3 linked regions of the Arabidopsis thaliana genome follow. The protein of the gene in region 2 interacts with the protein of the main gene of each other region in a pairwise test. Each region holds a gene or a part of one and is shown on either strand. Other genes may lie near its edges.

Region 1 (3,746 bases), 1.6 Mb from region 2:
ATGGAAAGCTTTTACCATGCAAAAAGAACCATAGCATTTTTGTTTTAAAGAAAGAAAAAAAAAAGAAGGAAAAGAGTCATAGATATTACCATGCAAAAATATGGAAATTGTAATATATATACGTGATTCCCATATTATAAGATTAGAGCTTTTTCCGCCAAACTAATTTATTAATTGTAATTATTGATTACAAATTTATAGATATTTCAAAAATGAAGTCACAAATGAGAAATGAATCAAATGAAACAATCTATAGAAAACAAGATATTATAAAAGTCAATTAGTCAGAGTTTATACATGCAAAAAAAAAAGAGTCATGGAGCTTTCAAATATTAAGTCACAAATAGGATATAATCGAGACTGCTAAAGATGTTACGGTAATAAATCCGAGCATATTACATGCCATTGAAAAATAATACGTTCTATGATAAAAAGTCATTTGATCGGAGCTTCGTGTTATGTGTTCTCTGTTCTTTCCATATTGATTCGCCTTTACATGCGATTTTTGTCTCAGTAGCCGCTAAATAAGGTGATTGGTTAGAATTTAGAAATATCAAGAGTTGTATTAAAAAACAAATAAACGAATGAATAAATTTTGCTCGAATGTGAACATAAAATAAGCAAAAGATATAGCATAATTCCACGTCAGCATACAACAAGCTGACCCAAACAGAAAAATAGAATTCAAACAACGGTCAATTGTGGATAACCAAACGGTGGGTGTGGAGATAACGGCGATAAAAGCGGCATGCTCAGAAACTCCGTCAAATCCCAGTCATCTATCGCCGTCAAACCTGACTCAACATTCTCGCCGCCGCTAACGTCGTAACTCTCCTCCGTCTTTAGCACTTTCTCAACCACCGTCACTTCCTCCTCCTCGCCGTCTCTCTTCCGTTTGTTGTACAGGCCACGACCATCTTCAGCGCGTGGATTCCACTTGTCAACTTCAAGCGGGAAATTCAGAATCGCCTTTGATCCTCGTAGTCTAAACGCTTCTTTGTCGTAAGCTCTAGCCGCTTCGATCGCCGTCTCAAACGTCCCGAGCCAAACACGAGTTCCACGACGAGTCGGGTCTCGAATCTCCGCCGCGAATTTCCCCCACGGCCTCATCCTCACTCCTCTGTAATGCCTCTTCTCCTCTGCTGCTACAACCGGTACGGGAAGTTCCGGTTTAGGATTTCCGGTTGCGAATTGAATCCACTTGGTTCGGTTCGGTGGTGCGATCTTCAACGGCGGTTTTCGATTGGATTGAACAGTAACGCGAGGAGGATTCGATTGGAACGTGAAGGAATCGTTCGATTCAGATGGAATTTCAGATTTCACATCGAAATCAAAAATCTCCGGTTTGGGAGTGACGAGATCGATTATTTCCGGTTTGGTTTCAAATTCAGAAAACTCGAAACCGGTTTGATCAAATGACGTGAAATCGTTCATCCATCGATTGGTGGTGGCAGTAGTAGGCAACGGAGACAATTCGTCGAGGAGATACTTCTTGATGAGGAAAAGAGCTGATACTTCGTTTGGTGTAGCCATTTTGGAGGAAACAGAGAATTGAAGAGGAAGAGGGATTTGATTTGACAGTGGAGAAGAGAGAGTGGAAAGGTGTATTTATAGGAAAGAGTCAAGTCAATGAGAGACTCTTTCAAGGCAACATCCTCAGGATTTTTTAAACTTAAAATCTAAAATTATCAAATGCGGGATGGTGTATGTACACGCGTGTTTCACCGGTTTTACACCGTTTGATTAGATTATAAACCCCTCGTCAACGGTTTGATCGTGTGGTTCATCAATGGCAGCTGGGGTAAAAAAACAAAACACAAATATTTTAATTAGGCTGCGCTCTAATATTGGGTTTCTTTGGCAGATGATTAGACAAGAATTTATCGATTCATGTTTATCAAAATATTAGTACGGTTTAGTAATAGTTATTATAAAGTACCTTTCGTGTTAATATTTGATTAATTTACTACTCGTTGTGAGAATTCTTCGCATGCATGCATTTGCAATATCAAAATTTAGCGGCCGTATCAACTCAATGTTTGGATAAACACACGTTTTTATATAAAAACTTATGATAGTTGCAAAATTTGATGGAAGAAAAACACTGGTTTTACTTCACGTACGTCGGATGTTATTTTTGTTTTTGGATTAAAAATATTTTAGTTATGAAGACTAGATTCTCTTTGTCGAATGTCGACGATGTTTTCGTATGGTCGCCAACATTTTGTGGACAAAGACCCATGGAATTCTCGTATAGCTGCCCAAAAACATTTAAAAAAAAAAAGTCCAATAATTTCAAGTTCAACCAGTAATTTGTTCATCCAATCTCTACATAATCTTTCGGGATAAAATATCCATTATTTTTGTTTTATACATCTCAGACCAGAAAGCTGTTTTTATTTCAATGATCAACACTATATATATGTTCATTTCTAGCTGTTATATAATCACTGAAAACTAAAGTGTTGTTAAAATGTTGCCGAACATAGTAAAACATTACACCGATAAATATACATTTTTATTGTGTCTACGGGTACAAGCTACAAAATTATAAGCTTATCGCTTCATTTGTAAGTGAATAGATATTACCTTACGTATAAAACATAAACTAAAACGCAAACACACAAAAATGCATGCATAATTAGACTATCAGAGGAATCGTAATATTAAAGTTATAGTCTCGAAAGATAAGGGCTGCGTAATTAGCGGAATCGTAATACTAATTAAGTTCTAGTCTCAATTATTCTACAATAATTATAACCAAAAATATATATTTTACAACAACAAACCATGTGACCACTTTTGGCTTTGGTTGCTGCTTTCGAACGTGATATATCCATTTTACGTCTTCGTACGAATGTGCTTACTTCATCATAGATATTGATTCATACTTGAAACTAATTTACAAAGCCTAACACACACATATGCAATTTTCTATCAGTATGACAATTTATACTATATATATGAAACATATTGCTCAAGGCTTATCCTAGATGTAGGTTTAAATGAATCTTCTAATATATTTTTCAAATCAACGTTTTCACTTATTTAAAACATTTGTAAATAATTTACATGTCTAGTTCAGCTCTGTGTGTCTGTCCAGTACTTATGTTCTTATTACAAATATCTTTGTTTCAAGGGAAATATCAATGGGTATTGCCCAGACGAATCCATAATTAACTTCTCAATAATTACAGAGTATTCATGTTTACTAATTCGTTCCTACAAAAAAAAATGTTTGCTATATTCGTTCATGTTAGCTATAGTTTTTCAAGTTTTTCTGGAAATCTAGGATGTCAAAAACTGAAAGAAAAAAATCTAGTACTTAAAAAATCAATTATTGATTGATTTCTTCTTATCATTAGTCTTTAATTTTTATATATATATATATAAACATGCATTATACATATTTAAACTGGGATAATGGTACCGTTACACCAGAGTTGTGTGTTAGAAAACAGCCAAATGCCAGAATCCACAACAAATGAAAACTTAGAGCCTAGAGGTCCACATGTTTCCAAAACTAGGCTTATGTTACGTATTTGAGTTTAAACTAATTTCTAGACTCTTTGTTTAACTGAGTCTAGAGAGGATGTCAGTTAGATTCTTTTTATTTAAAAAAAAGTCAGTGAAGAAGTTCGATTATGTAAATATCGTAAATGTTTTTTTTTTACAACAAGAGACATAAATTGTAAACTACCCTTAAGCCTCTAAAACGTAGTTAACGAAATTAGACGAGATTAGTA
Region 2 (2,836 bases):
GCTTTGATGAACAATTCTTGAGGCATCTTACTGAAGCTGCACATAGACGTTGTTTGCTTCGCAGAAGGGATGGTCAAATATCCTCTAGTCTTGTTTCGTCCAGCGATCCCACTACGATTCATCCTACTGATTTGGTCAATCTTTATCGTCTCTCTGCTATTTCCCATGTTGAACATCAAAACTCAAACCCTTGTCCAAGTCCTGGCTCAATGACTCCATCTCCCGTCTCTGGTCATTCTTCCATTCCTGCAGATAGCAATAACGGATCCAGGTATTGACATACACATAATCAAGTCTGGTTTATTGATAACGAGCTTTCATGATTTATTCGCTTTCCATTTGCTTGTGCTGTCTCTATAACCAGCTTTCATGATTTGTATGGTTTCCATTTGCTTGAGCTGCACAATGCAGATGCTCTTATACTTCCTGTTTCGCTTAGTTACTGGGATTATCGTCTACTGATAAATAATTTAGATGGCTCTGGAATTCTAGACCATGTCTCTTTATTATGCAGCTACTTCTTGGAGAATTGGTCAAGCCTTTAAATTGTTTAGAACTTACCTAAACCATATGTAATATATCTTCATCTTTTCTTGTATCTGTCATCAGAATCTCTCCTGGCCCTTCTCCATCTCGTTCATCTCAAAGTCCAAAATCACCTGAAGCATCCTCGCTTCCGGAAGCCATTAAATCGAAACTAGCTGCTGCTTCTGCAAAGTATGGCTATCTCAATTCCTCTTCATTTGTTCAGAAATTGGTTATAAAAACTGACTGGGACATACATGCATGCCTCCAGGTACAAGGAATCGATCTCTAAAAGTAAACAAGGTCTTAAAGAGAAGCTACTTGCTCGCAATAACTCAGTGAAAGAATTGAGCAAAGGAGTGCAACGTGAGATGAATGCAGGAATAGCTGGTGTTGCACGAATGATCGAACGCATGGATTTTTCTTCAAAACGTTTTGGAGGGTCTGCTCATGTATCAACCTCCACTGCTACTGCTTCTGGATTCAATTTCTCATTCAAAGGGAAACGTGTAGAAGCCAATTCTAAGTCTAACAACAATGGAGACAAAACCGAACCCCAAAAGCTGCAGGTTTCAGACTTCTCCCGGTTTCTTGTCTTCTAACATTTGTATCTTTAAAACATAAAGCTTTTTATGGGTTTTGCTAATGAGAATCGTTGAATTCATCTCAGGGAGGAGAAACGTGCTGAGGCAATCAGAAAAATGGAGAGAGGCCTTTAATGCAAGCGATGTACGTTTCCATTGAATCAACTTACCCGTTGGTCTTCGCATCCTGCATTGTTCAGAGCTCACGGTCTCGTCTCTCGTCTCTCTGTTACCTTTGCGATGCGTACTTTTAGATGGCTAAAATAAGCAACTGAGTAATAATTTTATTACTCGATTTTGACGGAGCCAAAACTATAATATTTATTAATTTCAAAGGATAATGTTTTATGTTTTTTCACTAAGAATTGGATCAGTCCTAATCAATATTGCACTATGAATCTATTTATAGACAAGTCCATAAATAAAATAGGAATTTTGAAGATAAAAACCTAATTTATATATGACATAAAATACCTGAATACTGGCAGAGGAAGGCTTTCAACAGCTCTATAAAAACTCAAGTCATACAAAGTTTTGAGACATAAGATTAGATGGTGAAGAGCAAAAACAAATAAGAAGGCCAAGCCAAAGTACACAAAACGTTGCAAACATAACACGATTGTACCAAAACAAGAAGACAATGACGGGAGAACCTTCTTTATGCATTAGGGGGTGTGGCTTCTTCAGCACGTCACAGACGAAGAACCTCTGTTCTAAGTGCTACAACGATTTCTTAAAGGACGAGTCTGCCAGATACTTGGCCACTTTCAACGTCAACACGAAAGCCGCTGAAGAGGTCACGGCGCAAGAGGCGACGGTACTCGGTAGTAAAGGCGGTTGTGGTGAAGAAGAAGGATAAGATTATAAGAAGAGTAGTAGTAGATGCAAAGCGTGCAAGAAGAAGGTGGGGTTGCTAGGGTTTCACTGTAGATGTGGCCACTTATTCTTCGCGTCTCACCGTTACCCGGAAGAGCATTCATGTCCATCGGATTATAAATCTGCCGCCATTGACGTCTTAGCAAAACAAAACCCTGTCGTCAAGGGTGATAAGCTCTTCAGACTTTAGTCAACCCTTCGATGCTTGTGTTTTTTTCTTAACTTTTTTTTCTCTGCCATTGGTATTAAATAAAATAATTTAGTTCTTATAACTTAATTACATTGTGTTCGATTAGTGAGAACGACAAATTGTTAGTTTGAAACTAGAATATTTATTTTTCTAGTGATTACTCGTTCGAAATATTCGTTAAAACTTGACGTTGAGCGAACATATCTATAAAACAAACAAGATTTAGTCGATTGTTGCTGATTGTCCATGGGAAATTTGTTTGAGTAATGGAAGCATTAAGGCCAAAGAGTTGTTCATCCACGCCCTCCACTTTCCACTAATCTTCCGGGTTGTGTCCAGAGAAACTTCAGGGTTCTCAGCTTCTGGATTCTTACACATAATGAAGTTCATGGACCTTGTTGACCCGATCCTAGTGCATGGATTCAGTGCTGAAATTTAGATAAAGCAATGACGTTAATGTAGAAGTAGAATTATGATTAAGTAGACCTAGGCACCTTTTTTTTAGATGAAATATTTTTGCAAACGTTTATCTCTTTTTATAACAAAAAATTGTAATCATCATTTGTTCTAAATGCAAATGACAGACTCAAAGAAAAAACCACACGATTGTGTCTCACGTTGATTTGGAGAGTATGGAGAGTAAAGTAGGAAAGAAGAGGTG
Region 3 (4,283 bases), on a different chromosome or scaffold from region 2:
TTATATTTTAACAGTCCTCGGTTAGAACTTAGAAGTTAAAAAAAATTAGCAAATGGGTTTTCACTTTTCAGAAACGAACAAAAAGAACTATTCAACATAATAAAATATCGAATTATTTCATTACAAAGTTACTACAAACCTTTTTGTTCTTCTTTCAGTTTAGCAACTATATATGGCCATGAAATTATGGTACGATCATCATTTATTGCGCATGCATCAAGTTGTCAATCGTTTAAGCTTTACATTAATCTTAAATGGTAGCCTACAAGGGAGGCCTTAATTATATAATTGATCTGTAACACTCTGTTGGCCCAGTCCAACATTTTGATACTAACAAATTAAAGCCCAATTATTTCATCTTTTTCTTAAAAATAGTTACTACTATCCTTTTTTTTGGATCAAATAGTTATTATCTAATTACTAATTAGATCTTCTAACCAGGTGTTAGACATGACAATTTGACCGGTCTATTCATTTTGTATGCATAGAACATCTGAATGATTTGAGAAGCAAAATAATAACTCATATGACGATTATATATATAGAGTGTTCAGGTGATAAAAAATTCAACTCAACTTATCAAATACAAGACATCACATATCATAGTATCTACAAAATTTCCAAATTGCTAGGTAACATAATTACAACCTTATTCTCACTACTGATTTATTCATCCAAACCTGCCTAAACCCATTATTCATTATTTATTTTCAATACGAGTTAGATTATTTATTTTTTTGACAGAAGTCACAGAACTTGTTGGGGGCATGACAAAACTAAGTATACAAGTCATAACTCTATAGCAATACTATTTGTGTAACTATTATAAGATTCATGTTAAAACATGAGGTATATGTGGTGTTGCACTTGGAACTCAAATCCAAGATTGGATTGGGTAGTTGCACTTGAAGGAATTTGCTCCACTAATGTGTGCAAAAATGTCTGAAGAATCTACCAATTGTTCCTCATCCTTCACTCCCATCTGTAAACCCAATCGGCTTAGTTAGTTTTCACATAAATTCATATAAATCGAGTTAAAATAACCCGGTTTTCTTACATCGTCTTCATCTTCATCATCATGATGGCTTGAAAAAGCTTGTCTATTTGGCTCACCAAATTCATCATTCTTTGCAAATCTTCCTCTAACTCTTGGTCGACTATCTGCCAATGTTTTCCTACACGCATACTACAACCCCCCAAAAAAATCATTGGGACAACATTTAACAACGGTTAAGTCCGGTTTGGTTTAATAAAAACCGAACCTTGATTTTCTTGTTGAAATTCCTTTCGTTCCTCTTCTTCATGTACCTACGAATCTTCTCTTTCCTTTGCTCAGGGGAGAGTTTTCCAACTTTGTTCAACGTTGAGTCTTCTAAACCGTTTATATCGACCGGTCCTAATGCTGGATGAGCTTGAGGTGTCACCAAGTGGCTCTGGTTCTCGGCGCCACCACCAAGTGCCTTCTTCAACAAAATTAAACCGGTTAGCATCACATCAGAATACCAACCCGGTCTTGTGACCGGAAATCTTAGCTCCATACCGGTTCTTAAAGATAACCAAACGTTAACCGGAAAATATTTGTAACAAAAACTCAATTACCTGGAGATCTTCTGGATTAAACATACGTTTGATGGAATCCGGACAAAAAAAACCACCATTATCAGCTTGAAAGTCCATCAGTGGATCATGTGGCTTATTGATTTCTGATCCCACATGAATATTCCCGGGAAGATAACCGAGATTACTTTCAGCAGATAATAAACCGGTACTCATATACGCCGGTAAACCGGACGAACGGAAGAAAGAGCAAGAAGGGTTCAAACCAAGATTGTAACTTGGGACTGAAGAAAGACAATCTTCTTCGAAAACCCCTGATTGTAAGGGAGGAGGAGCTAGAGAGGAAATCGCCGATAGAGACAGAGGATCTCCAGAGTATGAAATGTTAGGAGGCTGATGAATAACTTGGAGACCTGATGAGAAATCAAACTGGTCTTGGCTTATTGCCGTGAGGAGATGATCGATGACTGGATATTGCAGTGAAGATGATGAGAAATCGATTGAAGCCGTTATATCGTTTTCGAAATCTTCTTGTGAATCAAAGATTATGGACAGATCCGTGTTGTTGTTGTCATCTTCATCGTCTTGAAGGTTTGTGTTCTTGTTGTTGTTGTTGTTGTTACTGTTCTCAGTTGTTGTGGTGGTGTTAGTGTTGGAATGGAAGCTTCCGGATTTCTCAAGAATGTTTGAAGTAGAGGTGACTTCAGAGGATTGATTAAAGGTTTCTTGAAAGAGTTGTGGATCGCAGAAATCGAAGATCTGAGCACTAAGAGGGCTCGTGATATCATCCTGTTAAGATAATAAAAACAATAGTTAGTTTCAAAGATTAGATCGAGCATGGAAAGTAAATGAACCAAGATCTTTTGAAGAGATTACGTTAAAGCCAAGCATCAAAAAAAGGTAACAAAGGTTTTGGCTTGAGTCACAAGAAATTAGAACTGGTGAAATCATAAGAAGCTACAAGATATTAGTTCTTAAATCTTAAGAGAAATTTATTTATACTTAAGTAATTTTGTTCTGGCTTAACTATGTTAAGAATCTGTAAGATGTTTTGATTCTGTTTTTCGACATCCAAACACTCCAAAGATTTTGGTGTCTTGATCAAATCCAATGTTTGTTTGTTATCAATATTTGTTGAGGACAACACAAGAGAGATTAAATGCATCTGTTCTTTTATGTGACATGTTAAGAAGAAGTGTTCCAATTACTTCCAATAGCTAAAAAGATAAAGTAAAGAAGAGTGGAGTTTCTATAAACGGAAAGTTTTCTGATTCTGGTATTTCCTTTTCGTATTGACAAAATAATTTAAAATTGCCTGGTATGAACCAACATCCAGATTTTTTTCCCACAAAGAAAAAGTAAAGGGCACTTCATAAAATATCAGAACATGTGTGAAACCCATTATGATCATGATCATATACAAACCCATCATGATAACAAACAATGCTCCTAGTGAAATTCACGTAATATGTAGATTTTGCATAAAATCCAAGGTGAGAGATTAAATCTAGCATTTTTCGTTTGATGAGAATAAAAATCTATACTAAAATACGATAGATATAGTGAATTATGGTTACAGTTATTTTGTAGAACAATATTGTTCCATATCATGTGACGATTTTCTATTGGTTTATAAGTAATAATCGTATGCCAATGAGAATTATGATAATGATTGTTCAAAAAAAAATCGCATGGAAGGACAAATTGAAGTGCGGAGAGAATAACAAAGAAAGAAAAGCGAAAAGAATGAAGCAATTTATAAGAAGATCAAATGGAATATAAGTAGAAGAAAATGACGTTACACCAAAAAAGAAAAACTAGCTGAAATTATAGGGTAGTTGCCGAATAAAAGACTACGGAATAAAAATTAATCAGTTTATAAGATTAGACTCGAGTTTATATGATCTATACATGTAAGCAAAATTTCAAAGACAAAAACATCTACGCATTGCATGAATAAAAATGAAAGCAATAATGAGAAGAGAATTACGATGGAAAGCTGATCGTGAGAGTGAGACGAGATCATGTCTTGCAACATGTTTGTGTTCTTTGTATATCTCCAATGTTAATGCGAAAACTTTCTGGGAAAATAAAGAAAATTCCCGAGAAAATATGAATTATAGCAAGAAAATTAATGAACGAGGCTTCAAGGATGATTTGTGGAATAATATTGGAATGAGTGATGTATGATGAACAAGAAAATCCATGGAAGAAATTCAAATATTGGGAGGAAAAAACAACAAAAACTGAAAAAACAAAGAGGTAATTGAATTAAAAACAGAACAAAGGTTCTTCTGTTTGGACAGAGAAGAAATTCAAATTCTTATAGTTTTCTGGAAAAAAAGAGGTTATGGGAGTTTCACGTAACAATCATACATATATATATATACTTTTGGTTTTATGTGTATGTATATATTTGTATATACTAAACTAATGCATGTGTGTTTCAGTGTATGTACAAATTATTTTCACATAATTTTTATAATATATTCCAGCGTGGACTTGATGCAAAAATGTGATACCCTCGATTCTCCTCTTCACATGACGTGGAAAGCCCACGTAGATATAATGGTGTTGACGTGGGTAAAGGATCTCACGTAGGAGGAAACTATTTAGACCGGTCAATGAGTTTGACCCAATTCTTGTTCCGTGGATTTTGACGTTTTTGACTGAAAATCGTCCTAAATTAAGCCCTATATTCGTGGAATTAGTTTCTATGTTTTTAA

Evidence for each region.
Region 1: the proteins of AT4G14225 (region 2) and ERF6 interact in a two-hybrid assay, tested with the Arabidopsis thaliana proteins (one large-scale study listed by BioGRID).
Region 3: the proteins of AT4G14225 (region 2) and AT2G33350 interact in a two-hybrid assay, tested with the Arabidopsis thaliana proteins (one large-scale study listed by BioGRID).

The regions. Positions count from the first base shown.
Region 1 is NC_003075.7:9,752,289-9,756,034, forward strand, and holds ERF6 (ethylene responsive element binding factor 6), read right to left. Parts: upstream 1,874-3,746; 5' UTR 1,534-1,873; coding exon 685-1,533; 3' UTR 536-684; downstream 1-535.
Region 2 is NC_003075.7:8,197,028-8,199,863, forward strand, and holds AT4G14225 (A20/AN1-like zinc finger family protein), read left to right. Parts: upstream 1-1,749; coding exon 1,750-1,951; intron 1,952-1,999; coding exon 2,000-2,175; downstream 2,176-2,836. Other genes in the region: RHF1A (RING-H2 group F1A), read left to right, coding at 1-271, 610-717, 797-1,094, 1,196-1,213; AT4G14226 (uncharacterized protein), read right to left, coding at 2,398-2,565. UniProt on the Arabidopsis thaliana protein: May be involved in environmental stress response.
Region 3 is NC_003071.7:14,133,428-14,137,710, reverse strand, and holds AT2G33350 (CCT motif family protein), read right to left. Parts: upstream 2,570-4,283; 5' UTR 2,509-2,569; coding exon 2,434-2,508; intron 2,347-2,433; coding exon 1,600-2,346; intron 1,464-1,599; coding exon of another isoform or gene 1,461-1,463; coding exon 1,263-1,460; coding exon of another isoform or gene 1,221-1,262; exon of another isoform or gene 1,187-1,220; coding exon 1,058-1,186; intron 983-1,057; coding exon 875-982; 3' UTR 550-874; downstream 1-549.